2 linked regions of the Tamandua tetradactyla genome follow. The protein of the gene in region 2 interacts with the protein of the main gene of each other region in a pairwise test. Links are inferred from orthologs where the notes say so. Each region holds a gene or a part of one and is shown on either strand. Other genes may lie near its edges.

What was found. The genes of interacting proteins can lie anywhere in the genome.
Region 1: the proteins of CDR2 (region 2) and SH2D4A interact in binary tests that used the Homo sapiens proteins (3 or more experiments, as listed by UniProt). The two-hybrid records come from large-scale screens. The link is inferred for Tamandua tetradactyla from reciprocal best matches to the Homo sapiens genes CDR2 and SH2D4A.

The regions. Positions count from the first base shown.
Region 1 is NC_135329.1:19,293,935-19,302,909, forward strand, and holds the start of SH2D4A (SH2 domain-containing protein 4A), read right to left. Parts: upstream 5,013-8,975; 5' UTR 4,862-5,012; intron 4,655-4,861; exon of another isoform or gene 4,547-4,654; intron 2,840-4,546; exon of another isoform or gene 2,727-2,839; intron 1-2,726. UniProt on the Homo sapiens protein: Inhibits estrogen-induced cell proliferation by competing with PLCG for binding to ESR1, blocking the effect of estrogen on PLCG and repressing estrogen-induced proliferation. May play a role in T-cell development and function.
Region 2 is NC_135349.1:34,858,074-34,869,279, forward strand, and holds the start of CDR2 (cerebellar degeneration-related protein 2), read left to right. Parts: upstream 1-5,992; 5' UTR 5,993-6,100; coding exon 6,101-6,182; intron 6,183-11,206.

The DNA.
Region 1 (8,975 bases), on a different chromosome or scaffold from region 2:
AGTTCACTTTTTCATTTCAGGGGGAAAGAGAGGAGGAAAAGCTGAGGTACGCTTTGATAAGAGTTTGTGTAACCTCTGTCCTGTAATTTCCAAAGATAGTTTATCATAGAAACAAAACAAACCCTAAATTTATACAGGTCAATCTCGGGGAAACAAGCAAAAAAAAATTAACAGCATTTGGCCTTCTCCCAACTAAGCAAACATATTACGTCAGAGCCTAACAAACCACAACTATATGGCTGGGGGAAAGAAAAAAAAAGAGGTCAGAAGAAGAAATTCTAAGGCTCTCTCCAAACACGATTCAAAAGAAGCTATTATTTCTGAGATTTCAGAGAGCTATCCATCCCAAAGCAAACCAAATCAAAGCCCTGCTTGAGAAAGAGAGAAGAAATAAAAATTAAGCTGCAACCACCATTTTTGCATTTTCTCCTTAAAAGCAGCACTTAAACACAAGTACATACTTTCATCTTCACAAAAGGACCGTGTAATTTCCAGTCAACCTGCTAGGACCATGTAAACAGTGTGGCTGCCGGCGAGAACATTCACCCACGTTCTGGAAGGTCACCAGGTGTTAGGCCTACCTCTTCCAGATAACCTAATTTAATAAAATCCAAACTTACGCAACAGATGAACTGAGGGAACAAAGAAGTGACCAGGTCCATTATAAAAGTGTCATGCTTTAAAAAGAAATTATTAGAGGGCTCCTTTAAAAATAAGCCACAGGGTGGGCCACAGTGGCTCAACAGGCAGAGTTCTCACCTGCCATGTCAGAAACCCGGATTTGATTCCCGGCGCCTGCCCATGCAAAATAATAACAATAATAATAATAAGCTATGAACTTGCATATGCACAAATGATTTAACAGTTGTGTCCAGGGGTGTCATTTCCATGGATATTTCATCTGCATTTATACATTTCAATTTGGTTGGTTTTTTAAATAGCAAACCTGCATATTTTTGTATTAAGAAAGAAATTAGATACACATTTCCAATTTGAAAAAAAATACTCTGAATTTGCTTCAAATACAGTAAGATATTTAAAAAAAAACATACTCTGTATCTTTTCTTCCAACACCAATGTTGGAAGAAGTTGACTAATAATCTGGTGCCTACGATGCCTCAATAATCTCACCCTCTAGCATGCCCCTCTCATATATCTAGTTTCTCCACACTCAGTTCAAACGCTCAAATTTCAGACTAGTCACACCATGGCCACAATAGTCTTGGCTGCTCTTACTTCTTTCACTTTAGCATTGTTAAGCTAGGTCTGTAATGCTCCCTTCACCATCCAGGCATCCCCCCAGCTTCCCCCATCCCTCCTCTTCCTTTGCAAAGTTGTTTCTCAGCATACACCCAGCCTCTTTAGACATGCATGCCCAGACAGCCTGGGTCCCACAAAATGCTTTGCAAACACAGCATATAAATTCACCAACTACTCATTGGGTGGTAGGGGCCTTTATTGTGGCTAAAACTATTCTCACAAACTCCAAAACCTATAATCTCCCACAGTGTTCAACCACAGGAACTGGAGCGGAACCAAATATTAAGAGAAAACTTACAAATAATTAAAAGCATGTCACTGACTCTAGCTCTGAAAGGCTCCCCACTTCCCATGCTTCCTGGCTAACTCTGTATTGTGCTTTAAGGTAGCAGCCACATTGCAGTGAGGTGTGATGCTTGCTTCTCTTTTTGTTTCTAACAGTTTCTCAAGAGGTGGGGCCAATATAACCTACATGAAGGAGAAGCTTCAAGAGGCCAGGCTATTGTCTAGAGCCCACGTGGTTCCTCAGCACATCCGACTCCACTGCTCTGAGATGAAGTGGTAAGAAACCTAAGTCATTGCGTCCTTGGCATTCCAGTAAACGTCCTTATGTTGGCACACTGTGACTAATGATGGACTCACACGGCAAACATGGCAGAAAAGGAGCAGTTCAGTGAGGCCTGAGGTTTCAAGTTTGTTCCCCATTTTGAATGGGGCAAATATATAGCAACAGTGACGGGGTGGGTCAAGACTAAAAATGAAAAGCCTCGAAGTGCCAAATCCACATTCTCCCTCCTGTCCCCTAAGACCAGTAAGAGCTCACATTTACCTGGACAGGTACTGTCTTAAGCACTTTTCATGCATCAACTCATTTAATCTTCACAATAACCCTTAGAGTCAGGTCCATCAATCCCTCCATTTCACAGAAGGAGATGGGGCACAGAGGCTGGAAAGCGGAGAGTCTGCTCTAGTGTACTCTACGACACAGAGGCCTCTTTGTGAGTTTGTGAGCCCCGAATCAAAACCTCACCACGGGGCAGCACGTCTGAATTTCAGAACAAAGACCAGAAACTCCTGCAGCAATAGAAATGCTAAACTGAATGAAGGCACAGGACTCAGAGCGCAAAGCCTCATCGTGACAGGTCATACATACGCTTGCAGAGGTAGCCAGTATTGAAATCACCCTTCCCCAGAAAGGACAGGAACTGTCATGCTGGCCCAGGCGTGCATACCATCTGCCAGCTTTGTCACAGGCACAGAGAATTTCCGCATTTCCCCATCCCACACGCCGTCAAGGGCAGCACACAGTAGGCGTCTCACGCATGGGATGGGTCCTACCCCACTGCTGTGATGAAAGGCTCAAGCTTTTTTACGAAGCTCTGTACCAAGCACGCACTTCTGGCATTGAAGTTAACCAGCAGATCTTAAAGGAAAGACACTGGTTTTATCAGGTCCTCAGAGAATACCTGGGGACGCAGCTGATCAAATATGTGGCTTCAGGCTGCTGAACGGTATTGCATGCCTCTGCTGCTGCTGGTTCACCTGTAGAGATTCACGCTTTCTCCCCCAGGTGTTCATGCTGCCCGGAAGGAAAATAACCAGGGCACAGTGTGCTGATAAGGACAACAAGCAAGGGCCTGGGACCCGGCTCCGCCTCTAATGAACGGTGTGACTGAGCCCACGCTTCATTTCCGGGGGCCTCGGTTTTCTCATCTGTGAAATGACAGCCAGTTCATGCTGTGGACCTACACAATTTGTAGACTCCGTGATATAATATAGTTTGAAGCTATGGAGACAAGTGGAGCCAGGGTAGAGAAAATGGAAATGAGGAAATTAACTCAGCAGGGGTTTTCCTACTTTCACTCCCCACAACAATCATTGCTGATACTGATTCAAAGTTATTTAACCAAAGTTATCTAATCCCTAAGACATTTAGTGCAGCAACTTCCAGCTAGTCAAGATCCAAAACATTTAAAGTTTAGTTAATTAACTTGGTTTTCTTCTGGTATAGCATTTTGCTCAAGAAAAAGAATAAGCAGCAAATCCAACCCTGCAATTTATCCCCAAAACCAACTTCTAAGGAGACACAGGATCCTTTTAGTTCTCCACAATGCCCCCCCTTCCACAGCCACTGTTCTTTAATTTTTTTTAATTTTAATAACTGAGCTCCCCCCACCCAAAGGGACCGAGGTACTTCAAATAAATACTGTGACATGGACAGTAAAACTTTCATGTTAAGAATATAGTTTTGAACTCTAATTCTTTGAAGACAATCGTCACTTCTCTATCCTGCGAAAGGACTCATTCTGAGAACAAAACTAATTACCAGAGGTGACAGTAATTTGGTAAGTTGTTTTATAAACATTCACCATTCTTCAGAAATTTAAATTTACTGTAACACAAGATTTATGGAACGAATTCCAGTCATGCCAAATCAGTGCCCACATTATATCTTTCATTTTTTATTCACTTTTTACAAATGATCATATTCGTCCAAGTCGTTGTTTCTGTTAAACAAGCCGTTGTTTCTCCTAAATCAAATAAAAGCCTTTTGTGAGATGAAGAGAATCTCAGTTTGGAAAGAGGCGCAGCGCTTGCTTCTTCTCCTGGCAGGGACAGACAACCCTGAGCTAACTTACAGATTCTGACTGCTCATTGCGTCTCCCACCCCCATTCCGGCGCCCGCGTGAGTCCTGCGGGCAGGGTGCCCACTTAGGTGAGGAAGGTCACCGTGGAGTACACCGGGGCCACAGCCTGGGTCTGCCTCCCGCGCGGTCCGGCTGAGCTCCGCGACCCGAGGGCGGCGGCCGCGGGGACCCGCAGCGCCGGGGCGCGTCTCGCCCCACCCCACGTGGAGGCGCACCTGCGTGCGGGCGCGCGGGGAGGCCACAGCGGGGGTGCGGCGCGGGCTAAAACCGCCTCCCCGGGACTTTTCTAGAACAGCTCCTTGGGAAGGAAGTCCACCCGGTACTACCCACACGGAGGATGCGGGTGCGACTGGCCCGCACGGCCGTGGGGGTGGGCGCCGCCAAGTCGGCGGGCTGAAGCGCGCGGGCGTCCCGGAGCGCGCAGGGGCTGGCGGAGGTGGCGGAGGCCCGGCTGACGCCCCAGAAGTGTGCCTGGAAGCTGCAGAGCACAAGACCCTCCTACGCAGCCAACCCCAAGGCCGCCCCAACTCCGCGGGCGCGCATATCCCCGCGGGGATCCCCAGAGCTTCCCCCGAAGGCCTCCCTCTCCAGCTGCTCCCCAGGACCACAAGTCCCCGGGCCTCCGGGGCGCCGCTCACCCAGCCGCCTGCTCCAGACATCGGACACCCGACATCGGACACCGGTAGCCCGTCGCGGCCGCGCTCGCCCGGCTCAACCCCACACCTGAGCCTGCCCGGGGCGGGACGGGGCGGGACGGGGCGGGAGCGGGGGAGGGGAAGGGGGAGCTGGGCAAGGGGAGGGGCGCGCGGCGCCCGGGACCGAGGCCTCGCCAGGCCGGCCCTCCCTCTGCCGCCCCGCCTCCCTGCAGTCCCCTGCACCTACCACTCTTCCCCCCGGGGGACACCCCCACCCAGCCCCACACACCCTTCTCTTAACCCCACCCCAGCCTTTACCTGTTTAGAGCCCGGAGCTTGCCTGGGCTGGGTGACCCGAGCACCAGCCCGGTCCAGTTGGGCCGCCAGAAATTGTTGGGGAAGCAAGGGAGAAGGAGGCTGAGGCGCCTGCGAGCGGCACAGACTGGCTGGACAAACACTCAGGCCAACTTGTTGGCAAACGGCGTCCCTCAGCCCTGACCCGCCCGCCCGCCCCGCCCCACCCGCGGCCCGCATGCCCGGGGCCTGACTGGGCGCTCGCGGCCCCACCCGGGCGCCTGGAGAGGCACCAGTGCCGGGCAGGCTTGGCTGCCCGCTGCATCTCAGGCCGGCTTGTCCGGCGCGCTGACCCCGAGGTTCTTTGGTCCTTGGGAGCGGGGCCGGGGGGCGGGGCGAGGGATGGCGGGCGACAGGGCCACCTCCCCCTCCACTCTCCACTCTCCACTCTTAGTTAATTGGGGAATGACATCTGCAGTCTGTGACGTCTTGCATCTCTCTGGGTCCTTCGGAACTTATTAATGTTGGCAGGTCTGGCCACTGCAGAACGCAGTTTTGGCAAGTTGGGGGTGGGGGGGGGTTGGAGGCTTCAGGTACGCTGGCCCGGTCCCACCGGCCCAGTCGGCTCACCCTCTTGCATTCTGCTCCCGCAGCTCCGGAACTTACTTGTGTTGTTGTTGACATTAAGTAAGTGATCAAACTCTTGGGCACTTGTAATTATAGGTGTGGTTGAGTAGGAAAAGCTCAAGGAGGACAAAGCAAAAGGAGGAACGCTGAAAAAAGACAAAGGGAGTTGAAATGAAACAAAACTGGAGAAAAGAAAGAAGGTCATGAAGTCTTTTGACTCTCAGCAAGAACAGGTTAGGGTGGCTCATGAGAATATTAGGGAGGTGCTGACTGACTACAAAAGAGGAAACCTCGGAGGAAAGTTCAGCAAAAGCAGAATGGAAAGTTTGGAAGGCATTTTCCATTGTAGAGCAGCATTCAAAATGTGTGGAGAAAACAGCCTGCTTTGACGAACCTCAGCTTGCCTCTGTGCTGGGAAGAGATGTAATAAACAGGGAGTGTTCTCAGGTGCTGGTCTACACAGCCTACCAGATATATTCATGAGCCAGATTTGCAGGATTTAAAAATAACTTTCTAATTCCCAGCCTCTCCAGACTGCAGAAGTTAGAAGAGCTTGGGGCAGAGATCAAATCCTGGGTAAAGTCAGCAAACAGGACCCAACTATTTAACAGGCCATTCCAGGGATCCTGTCTGGGGAGAATTTCTGGTCTAAGATCTGGTTCCCATTGCTTATTAAATGAATGACCTGTGGAGTGCTTTAGGTTGAAATGTGAGTTGCCCCTGGTTAGCTGTTGTGGCCGTCTGAAAATAAATCCTAAAACTTGATGTATTGAACGGTTAACGGACTTCATTAGCCAGGATAAATTCCATAGGACATCGGTAACAGCCAATTCCCTTCCTCCACACATTAATCTCCCTAGGCATCCAGAGAAGTCCATCTGTGTAATAACTCCCTTTGTCATAACAAATCTGTGCCTCGATTTCCCCATTGAATAATTGCAGTACTTTTCTCATTGAGTTGTTATGAGCATTAATTGAAATAATACATGTAATTCATTTTATTCCGTACTACATAGTATAATTTCAAGTTCCTATCGCCTCACACTTAGGCTATGGGTTTTGCCTCTTTTGGTAGCCAGGCTCCAAATTAGCCAGAAGATCTCTACCTCCTATAGTTTCTGCCCACATTGTACCAGCGTTGGTCTGTGGTGAGCAATAGAACATGGCAGAAGTGATGATATGTCACTTCTGACATAGATTATAAATGACTCTCTCAGCATTGCTCTGTGGGAAGCCAGCTGCCATCTCATGAACAACCCTCTGGGGAGGTCCACGTGGAGAGGGACTGAAGACTCCTGCCTACAGCCTTTGGAAGAGGCTCTTGCAGTCCCAGTCCAGCTTTCAGGTGACTGTAGCATCAGCTCACGGCTTGATTGCAAATTCATGAGAGACCCTGAGCTCGAACCACTTAACAATCCACTGTCCAATTCTTGACCTACAAGCTGTGAGATAATTTTTTTTCAGATAATTATTTATTGTATTATGACGCTAAGTTTGGGATAATTTGTTACACAGCATAGATAACTAATACACCTCTAGTTTCTAAGCCAGTTTTACCTAGCTTTAGTGTACAGGAAAAATTATGTGGGCAGCTTATTTAAATGCAGATCCTGGACCTCAAGACCTAGGAAATATACATTTGTGGGGCCCCAACATCTGCATTCTGAGCAGCACTCTGGGTGGTTGGGCTTAAAATGGAGCGGCAGATTATGCATTCAGGAACTGTGCTTTAGGTTCTTCAGGTCAGAAATTTGTGAATGCAGTTATCAAATCAACCTTTTCAAATGTTAACTCTGATCCATCTCTTTCCCAAAGAATTAAAATTAAACTGCTTACAAACTTTGAAGCACCAAGACAATCTGACATTAATCTCCCTAAGCTTTATCGCCTTCCTAATATAAACCCTACATTCAGATAACCTGGCATTTTCCAGACCCTAAACCTACACAGATCCCACAGCTTCACACTGTGCCCTCTGTCTAAAATGTCTTGCCTCACAACTTTGCTTATGAAAACTCCACCTGCCCTTCAAACTCTAATTTTTAGGAAATCTTTCCTGACTATCCCAAATCCAGCCCGAAATGGTCCTTCCCTCTCCCATAGGGTTATAACACTTGTATCATAGTTTAGCATTTCATACATCCAAGAAACATTTAGTGAACACCTACTGGGTACCAGGCTCTGTTGTGACTGGGATCTAGAAAAGTAGACAGGCAGGGTCCCTGCTCCATCTGCAATGCAGCGCTGTCATGCAAAGTTAGCTATGTGTATGCTTTATGCCCTTTGAAATCAAACCTCTTGATGGCAGGGACCATGTCCTATGGAAGTTTGAATCTACCCATGCCCAAGCACAGAGTAGGTGTTCAATGAATGATTGCTGTGCATATAACTGTGTGTTAATGAATGCAGACTGTACAGAAACAGAGCAATCATTTGGAGCCTAGTCTCTTGTTCCTTTTCTCTCATTGTCCCCTTTTCATCCATGTTATGTGCCTTTCCTATATTTAACTCTTTCCTCGTCTTTTATGTCCATATTTTTTTTCCATCATCTTTACTTTGTTTCCCAGTCTCCTCTGCCATCTCCTAGTATTCCCTCTTTTAATTGACATAATCTGGAATCAAAAAATACTTTAAAATATAATTCCAAAAGCAGGCAATAAGGTTGTTTTATATTACTCCAAAAGAAAGCGAATTGCCTTTTTATTTCCTGGTGTGGCTGTTAGTTACTTTTCCACTCACTTTGGACTAGTGGCTCTCTGGAGAAAACAGTTCCCCACCCAATGATCTTGGATGCAAAGTCACAGGAGTGGGGAAGGATGAGGGGTTCACGTGCCAGCCACACTCATACCGTGTGGGGTCTGGGCACCCAGGGCCTGGGCAGGGGACAGGCACTGAGCCTCTCCTGAAGACTGGGCAGTACTGGCAGTGCAGAGATGTATAGATGGGTGTCACCACACAAGTGTGTGGGAGTACTTCCTCTATCTACTACTGGTGCTCAAAGAGAAAAGCTAAAAATATTGTTTACTATACACTAAATATTTTTTGTCAATTACCTGTAGTAATGGACACCATGACAAATTTTAGTTGTCATGTTTCTGGGCGTTCCTTTTAGAATGTTGTTTGGGAACCATGCCGCCCAGGGCTGTCTTGTCCGGCACTGGGTCACTAGAGGGACCACACGTAGAGACTCTGATATGTGAGGCACCCCCTGGAGTTGTACAAAACAGCAGCTCTGATGCTGCCAGAAAGATTAGAGAAGCAGCTCTTCAGCTCTTATAAATTAAAGGTCAATTTGGGTTTAAGTTCTACTGAAAATGAAGGTTCTCTTCACATTTATCCTTTATAAAGGAAAATAGGATATGCACCAATATCATTTTTGCTGTCAAGGTCAGAAATCCCACTTTTTAAAGTCTTAACTCAAGGAAGTAAGTTAAATGCTTGTTCCGCAGTGAGTGTGAGGTGGATATGAAAGGAAAAGAATGAAAGCATTTAAACTTTACTAAAAACTGAT
Region 2 (11,206 bases):
TACAAGGGCTACTTGAAAAATGCAAGTACATTATGAGGAGGTCAGCCAACATTTTGGGCTTTAAAATGTAATTATTGGATTTGAAAAACTGGGAACTACTGGGAAAGCTCTCACTCTAAGGAGTTATTTTTAGCATAAATAAGAATAAAGATTGAGGATAGAGTTCATGGGTTTGCTAAGAGAGCCAGAAAACAGGGGAGTCAGTAGATCCAAAAGCAGACATACAAATTTAGCTCACCAAAATCTAGGTCCTCTTCTTTTTTCTTAGTTTTATTTCAGGCATCCTAAAACAAGAAGCATGCCACACCTTCTGAGCTTCCCTATCATTAAGTCAGGAGGTAGGTAACAGTATTTATAAACTCAGAATATGGCAAACAGTTATTCGCTCCCTGAGACAAGTTCAAATTTTTAAAAAAGAATATTGTGACAGCTGTATCATTATTCAATCATCCTCAAGAAACATGGCTACTGGAACACAGCTCTACATTTTCAGGCAGTTCCCTCCAGCCTCATACAGCTGTCACAATGTGACTGTGTGATTGTGAAAACCTTGTGTCTGATGCTCCTTTTATCTACCTTGTCAACAAAGGAGTAGAACATATGGAATAAAAATAAATAATAGGGGGAACAAATGTTAAAATAATTTAGTTTGAAATGCTAGTGATAAATGAAAGCGAGGGGTAAGGGGTATGGTATGTATAATCTTTTTTTTTCTGTTATCGTTTTATTTCTTTTTCTGTTGTCTTTTTATTTCTTTTTCTAAATCGATGCAAATGTTCTAAGAAATGATGAATATGCAACTATGTGATGACATTAAGAATTACTGATTATATATGTAGAATGGAATGATATGTTACTGTTCTTGTTTGTTAATTTTTTTAATTAATAAATATACATAAATAAATAAAAGAATACTAAGTTAAGCACCCATTCTACTGAAACATGCGAATATAAGGTATTTACAGCATTACAAAAGGCTCTATAATCTGAACTCCTCCTCTTAAATATAGTAGAAGAGGAAGTAAAATCTTCCTTATTTCCATTTGCAAAACAAAATATTTTGCTGTAGTTTACTATCATCATAGTAATACTTATTTCACTAAGTATCAGACTGAAACTCATCACTTAAAATTTTTTTTAAATCGACTACTACTATCTAAAAATTCGCCTTGCATGATATTACTATGGCAATAAGACACAAAAGAACAAGCACATTTTATCTTTACAACCAAGGACAAAGGACTTCTGGAGCTGGTTCTTCTTTACCACAAAATGTTTTATAAATAAAGAGCTTAAAAGTAATGAAAAGATGGAATGATCAGCCTGAGGGGATGCACTAAATGGGTGAATTATAAGATGAACACCTGAAACCCACATTTTAAAATCAACTTGGATTGTTATTCATTAACCTACCAATAAAACAAATACTGTTGCTAAAGAGGTTGCCTATGATTGTTTCCAAGCTATGACCAAGCAGATCCTAAGAGAATAACAGAGACCCCACCAAACCAGGGCTTTTAGCAATTGAAAATTAGGACATCTTTTCAACACAATTTGTGTTCCAGCCTTTCCAGGAAAAAAAAAAAATTCTTAAATAAAAAGAACCACTGACACCAAAAAGCATAAAGCCTGTTTTATTGTGTTGTTGCCATTTTAAACTATCAAAAACTTCAATTCTGCAGATAACTTATTTTTTGAAAGACAATTGTTAAAGAATGTTTGAATATACTTATCCCATTTGGAGTCAAAATGAGTTTCTATTTGCCATCAAGAAAATGAGCTTCTGTTTGCTATCACAAAAACAGCCAGTACTTGAGAGATCCCAAACAGAGTCAAGAGGTTATCCTTATGCATTATACAGATCTCACCTTTTTAGTTAAGGTGTAATGGAGAGGCTGGAGGGAACTGCCTGAAAATGTAGAGCTGTGTTCCAGTAGCCATGCTTTTTGAAGATGATTGTATAATGATATAGCTTTCGCAATGTGACTGTGTGATTGTGAAAACCTTGTGTCTGATACTTTTATTTACCTTATCGACAGATGAGTAAAATATATTAAAAATAAATAATAGGGGGAATAAATGTTAAAATAAATTTAGTAGATTGAAATGCTAGTGATCAATGAAAAGGAAGGGTAAGGGTATGCCTGAATTTTTTTATTTTCTTTTTATTTCTTTTTCTGATTTGATGCAAATGTTCTAAGAAATTATCATGATGCTGAATATACAACTATGTGATGATATTGTGAGTTATTGATTATATAACATGAATGGCATGATCATATGGTAAGAATGTTTGTGTTTGTATGTTAAATAAAAAAAAAAAAACAGCCAGCACTTTCAATCTTGCGAATCGGTGACTATGCAACCAAGAAATCAGGATTTAAGGGATGATTTTTATTACTGAATCACTATATAGAAATTCCTTTTTTGCTTTCTTGTACATTGGAGTAGAAAGAGGGAAATTCCTAAAATCTCTAAATTGTAATTCAGCTGCTTTGATCTCTGCTAATGATTGTATAGCCCTTATCTTCTGCCCTTGTTATTGTAAAAACCTCATGACTAACCTTCTTTTGTACCCAGTTTAACAGTTTTTCAACTTTAGAGTCTTGTAATCATTAAAGACAGCAGGTAATGTTTATTAATGAAGGGTCTTGAGTCAGCCCAGAACTCAACACACCCCATATCTGAAGTTATCTTGTTAAGAGAGACTGGGATCTAACCAAAGTGGGCTTGGCCTACCTGACATGCACAGAAGCTTACACTTGAACCGACAAGTCACCTACACCTCATTCCACCATTTTCTTACATACATTCTGTGACTAAGCATGTAATCAACCTGCACATGCTCAATACTTAAATTACCTCTACAACATCTGGGGCCACTGTGCTTATTATCCTAAACCCTGCCCATCTTTCCTCTAACTACCTGAATTACTGCAGTTTGGGGAGACAGATTTTGGGCCGCTAGGCCATCTGCTCTCCTACTACTTGCCTAGTAATAAACTCTTCCTCTCTTTGAAATACCCAATGTCTCAGGAATTGGTTATTGAGTGTGGGGGCAGAAGAATTCACAGCCTTTGTCCGGTAACAACTATGGAAGATGGATGAGTCTCTTGAAGGTCAAATGCATGAATCTGGCCCTTCAATTTCCACAAAACACCATCAGCAAATCCTAAACCCAATCATCCCTCTTTCCAAAGGGCTCTATCTATAGTAATTTATTTTATTTTATGTATTTATTTATTTATTTTGCATGGGCAGGCATCAGGCATCAAACCCGGGTCTCCAGCACGGCAGACAAGACCTCTGCCTGCTGAGCCACCGTGGCCAGCCCAGTAATTTATTTTTAAGTTAACAAAGTTGGTTTAAATGATTTTCTTTTGTTTTTCTTTTTCTGGACTAATATCTGCACCTGAATATGGACAGCTAGGACAGTAGAGATTTTACAAGGGTCCTAACTTTTTTCTTCTTTGTAACCTAGCAATAAAAAGTAGATCAGAAAAACAAAAGTAGATCAGTAACATTTTGCCTTTTAGTATACCTGGATTCAAAAGAAAGTGATTTATGATTTCTCATTCCCCTTTCATTATTATTATCACTATTATTATTATTATTATTATTATTACCTTCTAACACCATTACAAGTAAGAGTGAAACCATGCGTGAACAAAAATCGGTTCATGGGGATATTCTCTGTTCCTGTAACCTTTTCTTTTGAGTTTGCTTAACGGCAGGTCATATAACCTAAGCATGCGTAGAAAACAGATTTTTGTCCTTTATATGGACTTTGAGACACCAGGAACAAATGCCACCTCCCTTGGAACCAAGATTACAAGAACAAGGAGACATTGAAAGCAAATCAAATGCCAAATGGAGCCTAAAATCCACTCTACCACACATGGACAACTCTATGATTAACCAATTGCACTGGGCCAAGTCAAACCTCTCCACTTCTGTCTATACTTTTCACCCCCCATTCCCACAAAATGTCCCTTAACTCTCAGATCAAGGAGACAGATTTGAGCCTTGCCTCCTGGCCAATCAACCTCACAATAAAACTCTCTTTTCTGAAAATCAAGAAATCATAGTATTGTCCTCTGTGGATACTGGGTGGGGAGCCTTTGCTCATTCATTCACTCATTCATTTATATCAGTATGGATTCATAGATTTTTCCTTTTATTCATTTGGTTATAATCCATTAATAATATTATTTTGATGCTCATAGTTGTCCCCAAAATATCAGTAACAGCAGCGTATGTTTAAAAAAGGCATGAATGCTTTCTCATACTTTCTCTCTTTGATTCTGTGAGGAAGGTAGAGAGATATCTCTCCTATAAACCTAAAGAAGTTAAAGGCTTTTGTGCTGGTAGAACTGAGGCTACAACTGCAGGTCTTGTGAATACACTGTGCTTTCCACTTTATATTAAGCAGTCTTCTTTAATGATGAAAGGATAAAATTTTTGGTAACTGGGAAAGTTTCCTTGTCCTTGGCAAGAGTAGTAGCTTACAGGCTATTCATAAAGCAACCCTGGAGTCAAGCTGTGAAGACCCTACAGCATCAGCATGAGATTTCACCAATTTGAGCAAGAAAGGGGAGGGGAAGGGACACTACATTTTTTAAAACCTACACGAATATTTAGGGTGGATTTTCCCCCCTCCTGTAAATTACTCATCTTTATTCCTTTATACAGAACAATAGTAATTTGAGGATCTGTAACTCCCTCCCTACAATTTCCTTTATTTTTTATCACAGTAATGTTTGCACCAAGTGTGCATGTGCATGTGCCACACAAAATCACAGAGAAACTTATAATAAAAAGCAAAGTCTCCCCTCAGGCAAACTATGAACGGTTTTCCATTTTAGTTTTAGCAGTTATCTTCACATCGTTGAAAACTATTTATTATATTTTCAATTTAAGGTATTGTCTATGGATTCAGGATTTAATTTGCTAACACTACTCCTTCTCTTCCCTCTCACCTAATTTCTGATCGTTGTTCCCTTAAATTTTTCAAGAATAATCCTTCATATAAAGTAAAACCTCTTTGTTCCATAAACGTTAGAAAGTATCGGTGGAGTCCCCTCCTGTCACATACAGATATTAGCAATGCTGTCTTCCCCTCCTTCTAGCAGCTGTACCTTGACTTTTACATCAAAGCTCATAATCCATTCTTAAATGGGTGTGAAACCCACACCCTTGGGCGGGCGTGAGGAAAATTCCCAGAGGTTTGGGAATAAGAACAGACGTCAAGGAGAAGAAGCTAACAGTCAGAGGGTGTCTTCCTCAGCCCCAAACTCTCGGCAGACCCTTAGTTTTCCCGCCGCGACGAGAGCAAACCCAGGAGTCGACAGACAACCGGCGGCCAGGCAGGGAAACGCGGGCTCCCGGCACCCCTCGCGCCTCCCGACCGCACTAAGGAGGCCCCACGACCACCTCCACTCCTCAGAGGCCGGAGTTCTTGCCCCTCACGTCCACGAAGCCTGCCCGGCCACCCTCCGGCCGTCGCGTCCACTGACTGACTGATGGGCGGGTAGCCGGTCCACCCACCGCAGGCCGCCTAGACAACCCAGGACCCCGAACGCACACCCAGAAAATTGCCCCGGAGCTGAGCGGGGGGCGAGGTCTCTCAGCCGCACCCCTTCGTTCATCTGCCCGCCTTCTTTGTTTCTCCCGAAGACGCCATTGGCTGCCGCTCTCGAGACCGGGCGAGGCGCGGGCAACCGGCGAGACGCGATTGGACGATATCGCCGCCGTTCGGCCGGCGGCTCGCTCGCGATTGGCCAAGACGCCGCCCGGGTTTGAATCACAGTCCCGGTCGGGGAGGGTTCTGCCAAAGTGCCACGTTGGGCCCGGCGGCGGCGTCGCGAGCCGGCTTGAGACGCCGGCCGAGGCGCCGGCCGTTGGAACCTTTGGGCGGCGCGAGGCTGGCCAGGAAGCCGGGCGACGGGCGGCTCTCGCTGAGCCTGGGCGGCGGACGGCGGGCGGGTCCCGCCCCGGGACGGCTCTGGCTGAGGGCGGCGGGGCCGGGAGCGAGCCCGGGGCAGCGGCTGAGGCGGGACAGCGGCGGTTGGGGCCGCTGCCCCCGGAGGGCCCGGCCGAGATGCTGGCGGAAAACCTGGTGGAGGAGGAGTTCGAGCTGAAGGAGGACGAGCCATGGTACGATCACCAGGACCTCCAGCAAGGTGAGGGCGGGGGACACGGCAGCGGGGAGGCTCTGGGCTGCTGAACTGTGTTGAAAAAGTTGCTCTCGCCCCGGGCCGCCGCCCTTTGCAGGCGCTGCCGTGCCCGCCCCGGGTGTCGGCGCAGGAATAATAACGCGCCTGGAGAACGTTGTCGAGGGCTAACTGTGTGCGGGGCGCTGCTCTCAGCGCTTTAAGACGCTTAGGTTATTCACCCTTTAAGCCACAGTGAGTGGCCGCCCCGTGACGGCTCCTGCGCACACGGCGCCCCTGGGCTGTAACGGGGCTCGCGGCGGCTGGAGCGGAGCCCTGTGGGTGCCAGTAGCATCCCTGCGCGGTGGGAAGGGCGCAGGCCCCTAACGAACCTGCCCTCCTCTTATCTGCACCCACCCACCGGGAGGAACTTTGGTCATCCCCATTTTCCCGGAGAGGAAAGACTGTAGTCCGTAGACTCCCAGAACGAGGAGCCAGCCAGTCACTGCCCAAACCCTTGTCCGTTCCTTATCCACCCGGTTTACGGGTTTTTTTCTATTGGGTGTTAACCCATTTTCTTTTGTTTTAAATTGTTAATGCACAGTCCACCAGATGCCGGATGAACTGACTGGAGGGCACTTCTGCCTCACCCTCCTCCGTCAATTTGCACTTCCACCTTTCGGTTAAAAGCCTGCCTTCCTGGCTTGGCCTGCCTGTAGAGTTCTTGCTGACCGTCCTTCCAGAGAAGGACCTTCGAGTGGCCTTCACTTTGAAGCCAGTGGTCCTTTTTTGGCATATTGCCAACTGGAGCTAGCAATAGGGATACTTGAGTATGTGCCAGACGCTGGCAGGTCCTTAACACAGATGCTCATTTAATCCTCACAACAGCACTTTGGAGGTGGAGGCGACTGTTTTGGGGTGCTAGGATTCCAATTCAATCTCCAGAGCAAGCGCATGATACTGAGCGCTAAATAATCCTCAGGAATTTTTTTTCAGGCTTCTGTTTCTGCGAATCTGTATAAATCCATTTTTTTCAGCTCCAAACTTGCAGTGAAAATGAAACATCTCATTTAGTTGAACATTAAATGATCGTGATATCTGTACATGCTGAGCGATGAACTCGGTAGGGGAGACCACAGGGAACGTAAACTTGAGTAACTCAACTTAGGAGAAGGAAATAAAATGTGTGCCTGCTTTGGGAAGGTGATTTCTAAAATCATTATGCTGGGAGCTGTACATACCAGTATTTGCGCTCACGTTCTCTATGTCCACAAGACACATTTGTCTTAAGTTTTAACAAACCTGTTTTCTGATTTTCCCATAAGAATTGATGGCCTAGTTTGATTCTTTCTCCAGGGTTAATTGCAACCATTGTGCAATTGCACCATTTCCTTTGAATATATTAAGGAGTTCGTATAATCAACGCAGAATGTTTTTCTTTCTAGTATATAAGATGCATAAATCCGCAAGGGCATTAAGGGCAGGGACCAGATGGCCCTCATTTTTTTGAATCCCCAGCATCTACTACAACACACAGCACATAATAGAAGCTCGATTAATGTTTCTTGAACCAAACTGAAGCACTCCCACAGGATTACTGGTTTCATGGCTTTCTTCCATCAGGGGCCTAAATCGCACTGCACTTTCCCCCCTGCGGTTGTTAAAAATAACCCATTGTAATTTTTCAATCTACTGAGAAGCAAATGCAGCCTGATAGGGTTACCGTTAGAGTTTTCTAACTGCTTTGATCAAACCAGAGCTGTCAGATCTTCAGGTTTAAACAGAACCTTAAAGGACACTGTTTTGAACCTGTTTGATGCCAGTTTGTATTTGGGGGTTCTTCTGTTCTTTTCAAAGGGTTCTTACATTTATTATCAAAATGGATTTTGACATAACTCAGTAAAGTGTGAGGAGTAGGAATAGAAGATAGGAAATTCCAACAATCATAACTTGGGAAAATGACCTATAAAACACAGCTGCAGGATGCATAAAAGGTTATCTTTGCCCCGATTTTTTAAAATTATATGTTAACTAACTTCTAAACTTGTAAAGCATTTTAAAATTTGTTCGTTTCACAGATATTTATTATCTACTCTGTACCAGGTAGTTATGTGGGCACTGGGGCCACAGCTGAAGACAGGTTATGATAGATGACATTCAAACTCAGTTGAGTGCACAGGTAGTTCAGTAGTAGAATTCTTGCCCACCCTGTGAGAGAAGTAGGTTCGATTCTGGCCCATGCGGTGGAAATACCACCAGCATCATGGAATGTTCCCACTATGGCACCTGGCCTACAGTAGCTCTTTATAGATACTTTCTGCTGAATGAAGTCTGTAAACAGGTCTGTCCTTTAAGCAAGTTGATTAAGCAGGTGTAGTGGGGATTTATCCTGTGTCAACAGCTGTATGATTTTTAAAATATCCTCACTATCAGTTTTGCTATACTAGGCTGTTTGGAGAGCAGTGAGTCAAACAGCTTTCTAAGATCCTGTTCAAAATGTCTTAGAACTACAAAATACTTTTTTTCTTTTAACGATATAAGCCATTTTTTAAGTAGATTGAGTCTGCATCGAAGTTTGTTGGGGCAGTCATTTCAAAATTAAAATTGCTGAAAAATTCCTGTTAGAAACGTGAAGCTGTGTGTAGGCAGGAGGAGAAAACCTTTGCTTTTAGAAAACACTTTGATGAAGACTATCTTTTGTCAGAGGCCTGAGTTGGCACAGTAAGAATACTGACAATAATCTCTATGCGTAAGGTCCTTTCTGGGACAGCAGGAGCTTTCTGTGCAGGTAATGATGGTACATGCTTTGAAATGTGTCCCTGCAAACAAGGTGGAAAGACTTCAGAGGCTGGATTTTCTTTCCAACTAGCTGCTATATAATCATTGTTTCATGAACTGTGGAAGTTTAGAGTAAGAATTGAGATTTCTCCTGTATGGACTGGGTAAATGAAATCTTAGTTTAAAGGAATCCTAAGATTTCTGTTTCTTTTTTTTAATGAGTACGTCTTTCTTGTGTGCAGCTTCTTTGCTGGATCACTGTTTGATGGGTCATTAAAACTGACACCATTTTTCTTCATGTTTATATTCACGTTTGTTGCCTTCCCAATTATAGTAACATTGGCAACGGGAATACAGGAGCATCATCAAATGACGCGTTTGACTTTGTAATAGGAAAAGCTTTCAGTCTTAATGTTAATGAATTACTGCTACAGACTATAGCTACTGTGTAAATAGATTGTCCTTGTATTTTTTGATGAAATTGAAGTAAAATGAGAAGAATATAGCAGTAAGATTTAAAGTTTCAAAATTCTGGAAGAAAGGTCCTGTTAAAAAAATCATTCTTGCTATTATGTAATTTTTTGCTTAAGGCATAGGACTAAATTGAGTATCCGTGTAAAGCCCCCAGTCTCACACTATTAAAAGAGAATATTATCATTTGCAAAGACTGTTGAATATTAAACCTATGATGGTACTGATATGTAATAATTTCCAAACCTACAGTAAATGTATGTCTCTGGCTGCCTAAGGCAGTTCAATGTGGTTTAAAAGAGCAGCTTCTTATTGTAGAATAGAGAAATGCACAGGGCTTCAAAACAAGATTGTTTCCTTTTCTTTGTTGCCTTAATCAAAAATATAAAGGACATTCAATATTCTCCCATTCCCTCCCCTAATTATTTAGAAAACCTTCTTGGGCTTAGTGCCAGCTTTTGGCTCATTTTAGTTACGGAAGCCAGATGCTACACAACAGGAAAAGAACTTTTTTAGAAGACCCTTGTCTTTAAACTAACAGATGAAGTAATATCCTATTATACAGTGTGACTTCACGGGTGCTTTCTTGTAGTTGAGACTTATCTTGCTAAAACTCTATCCTTAACATCCTATAAAATATTCAGGAGACTATGAGACTTCAGATTACTGAGCCAGGTTGAGGCTGTAACTGGAAATAAGGATTGAGATAAGGATAAGTCTAATTCTTTTTTGTTTGCTGTTTACTGAAAGAGCACTGTTCTTGGCATTTCTGCAGCGCCAGGAGCAGGAAAGATGTTACTGGCTGCATATTAAGTACAATAGATAGTTTCATAACTGAATGAAAGTGGTTAATGATGGTCTCAAGTTACCCTTGGTTCTGGAAGAAGTTTCGACTCAGGGTTTGATTGCTAGGTAAGAACATTTTGGTAAGTACCTGGTTCTTCCCAGTGGGGAGTTACTCACCACTTTACAACAGGCCAGAACGGATTACATCCAGGGAATGTTTTTATGCTTTGCATAAAACATACAGTGTGGTGGTGGCGTCTATGTGGATCTGTATGTACATATTATACACTCTGGGTATAGAATAATTGTTTCTGGACCGTCTTCAGCAATGCATACATACATAGTTCCTTCTTAACTTGGTGAAAAGAAGATAATAACTTGCCTGGGGTTATATAGCTGGAAGTAAAAACCCAGATCTCTCAATTGTAGTTTTTCATCACTATTTATGAAAACAAGAAGAAACGATTAAGTATCTCAGTTTGAGAAGTTTGTACTTTTAACCTTAAAGTGTGTGGGTGTCTTAAACTACTTATAACTATGTGAATGGGATAGATGATTGTAAAAATTAGAACCTGACAACTGAGTAGTTTCTGATTTACCTATCATACACCATGAAGATCTGTCAGGTCAGTTAACATCTTGTATTCATGTGACATAGAACTTTTATACACAGCTCAGAGCATTCATCTTTCCATCTTCACAAGGTCCACAGCCTGATTTTTCAGAAGAGACAAGCCAAAGCACAAAGATGTAATTTCAAACTTATCTGAAGTCTTATTATATGCCAGTAATAAACATTGTTAATATTTAAATCACAGGAGAATGTGTTTTAACACCTCATTTACCAGCAGTGTATTGTTTTATTTAACATGGGCATGAAATGTTTTAAAATGTGCTGGAGTGGTGTGTGGTAGTTTTGTTTTGTCTTGTTTTAATCTAATGAGGGAAAACGAATCAAGTAGACTTATGCACTTGAAGGTTTGTTGGCAGGTAACAAAAATTGTTTTTCTTTTACCATT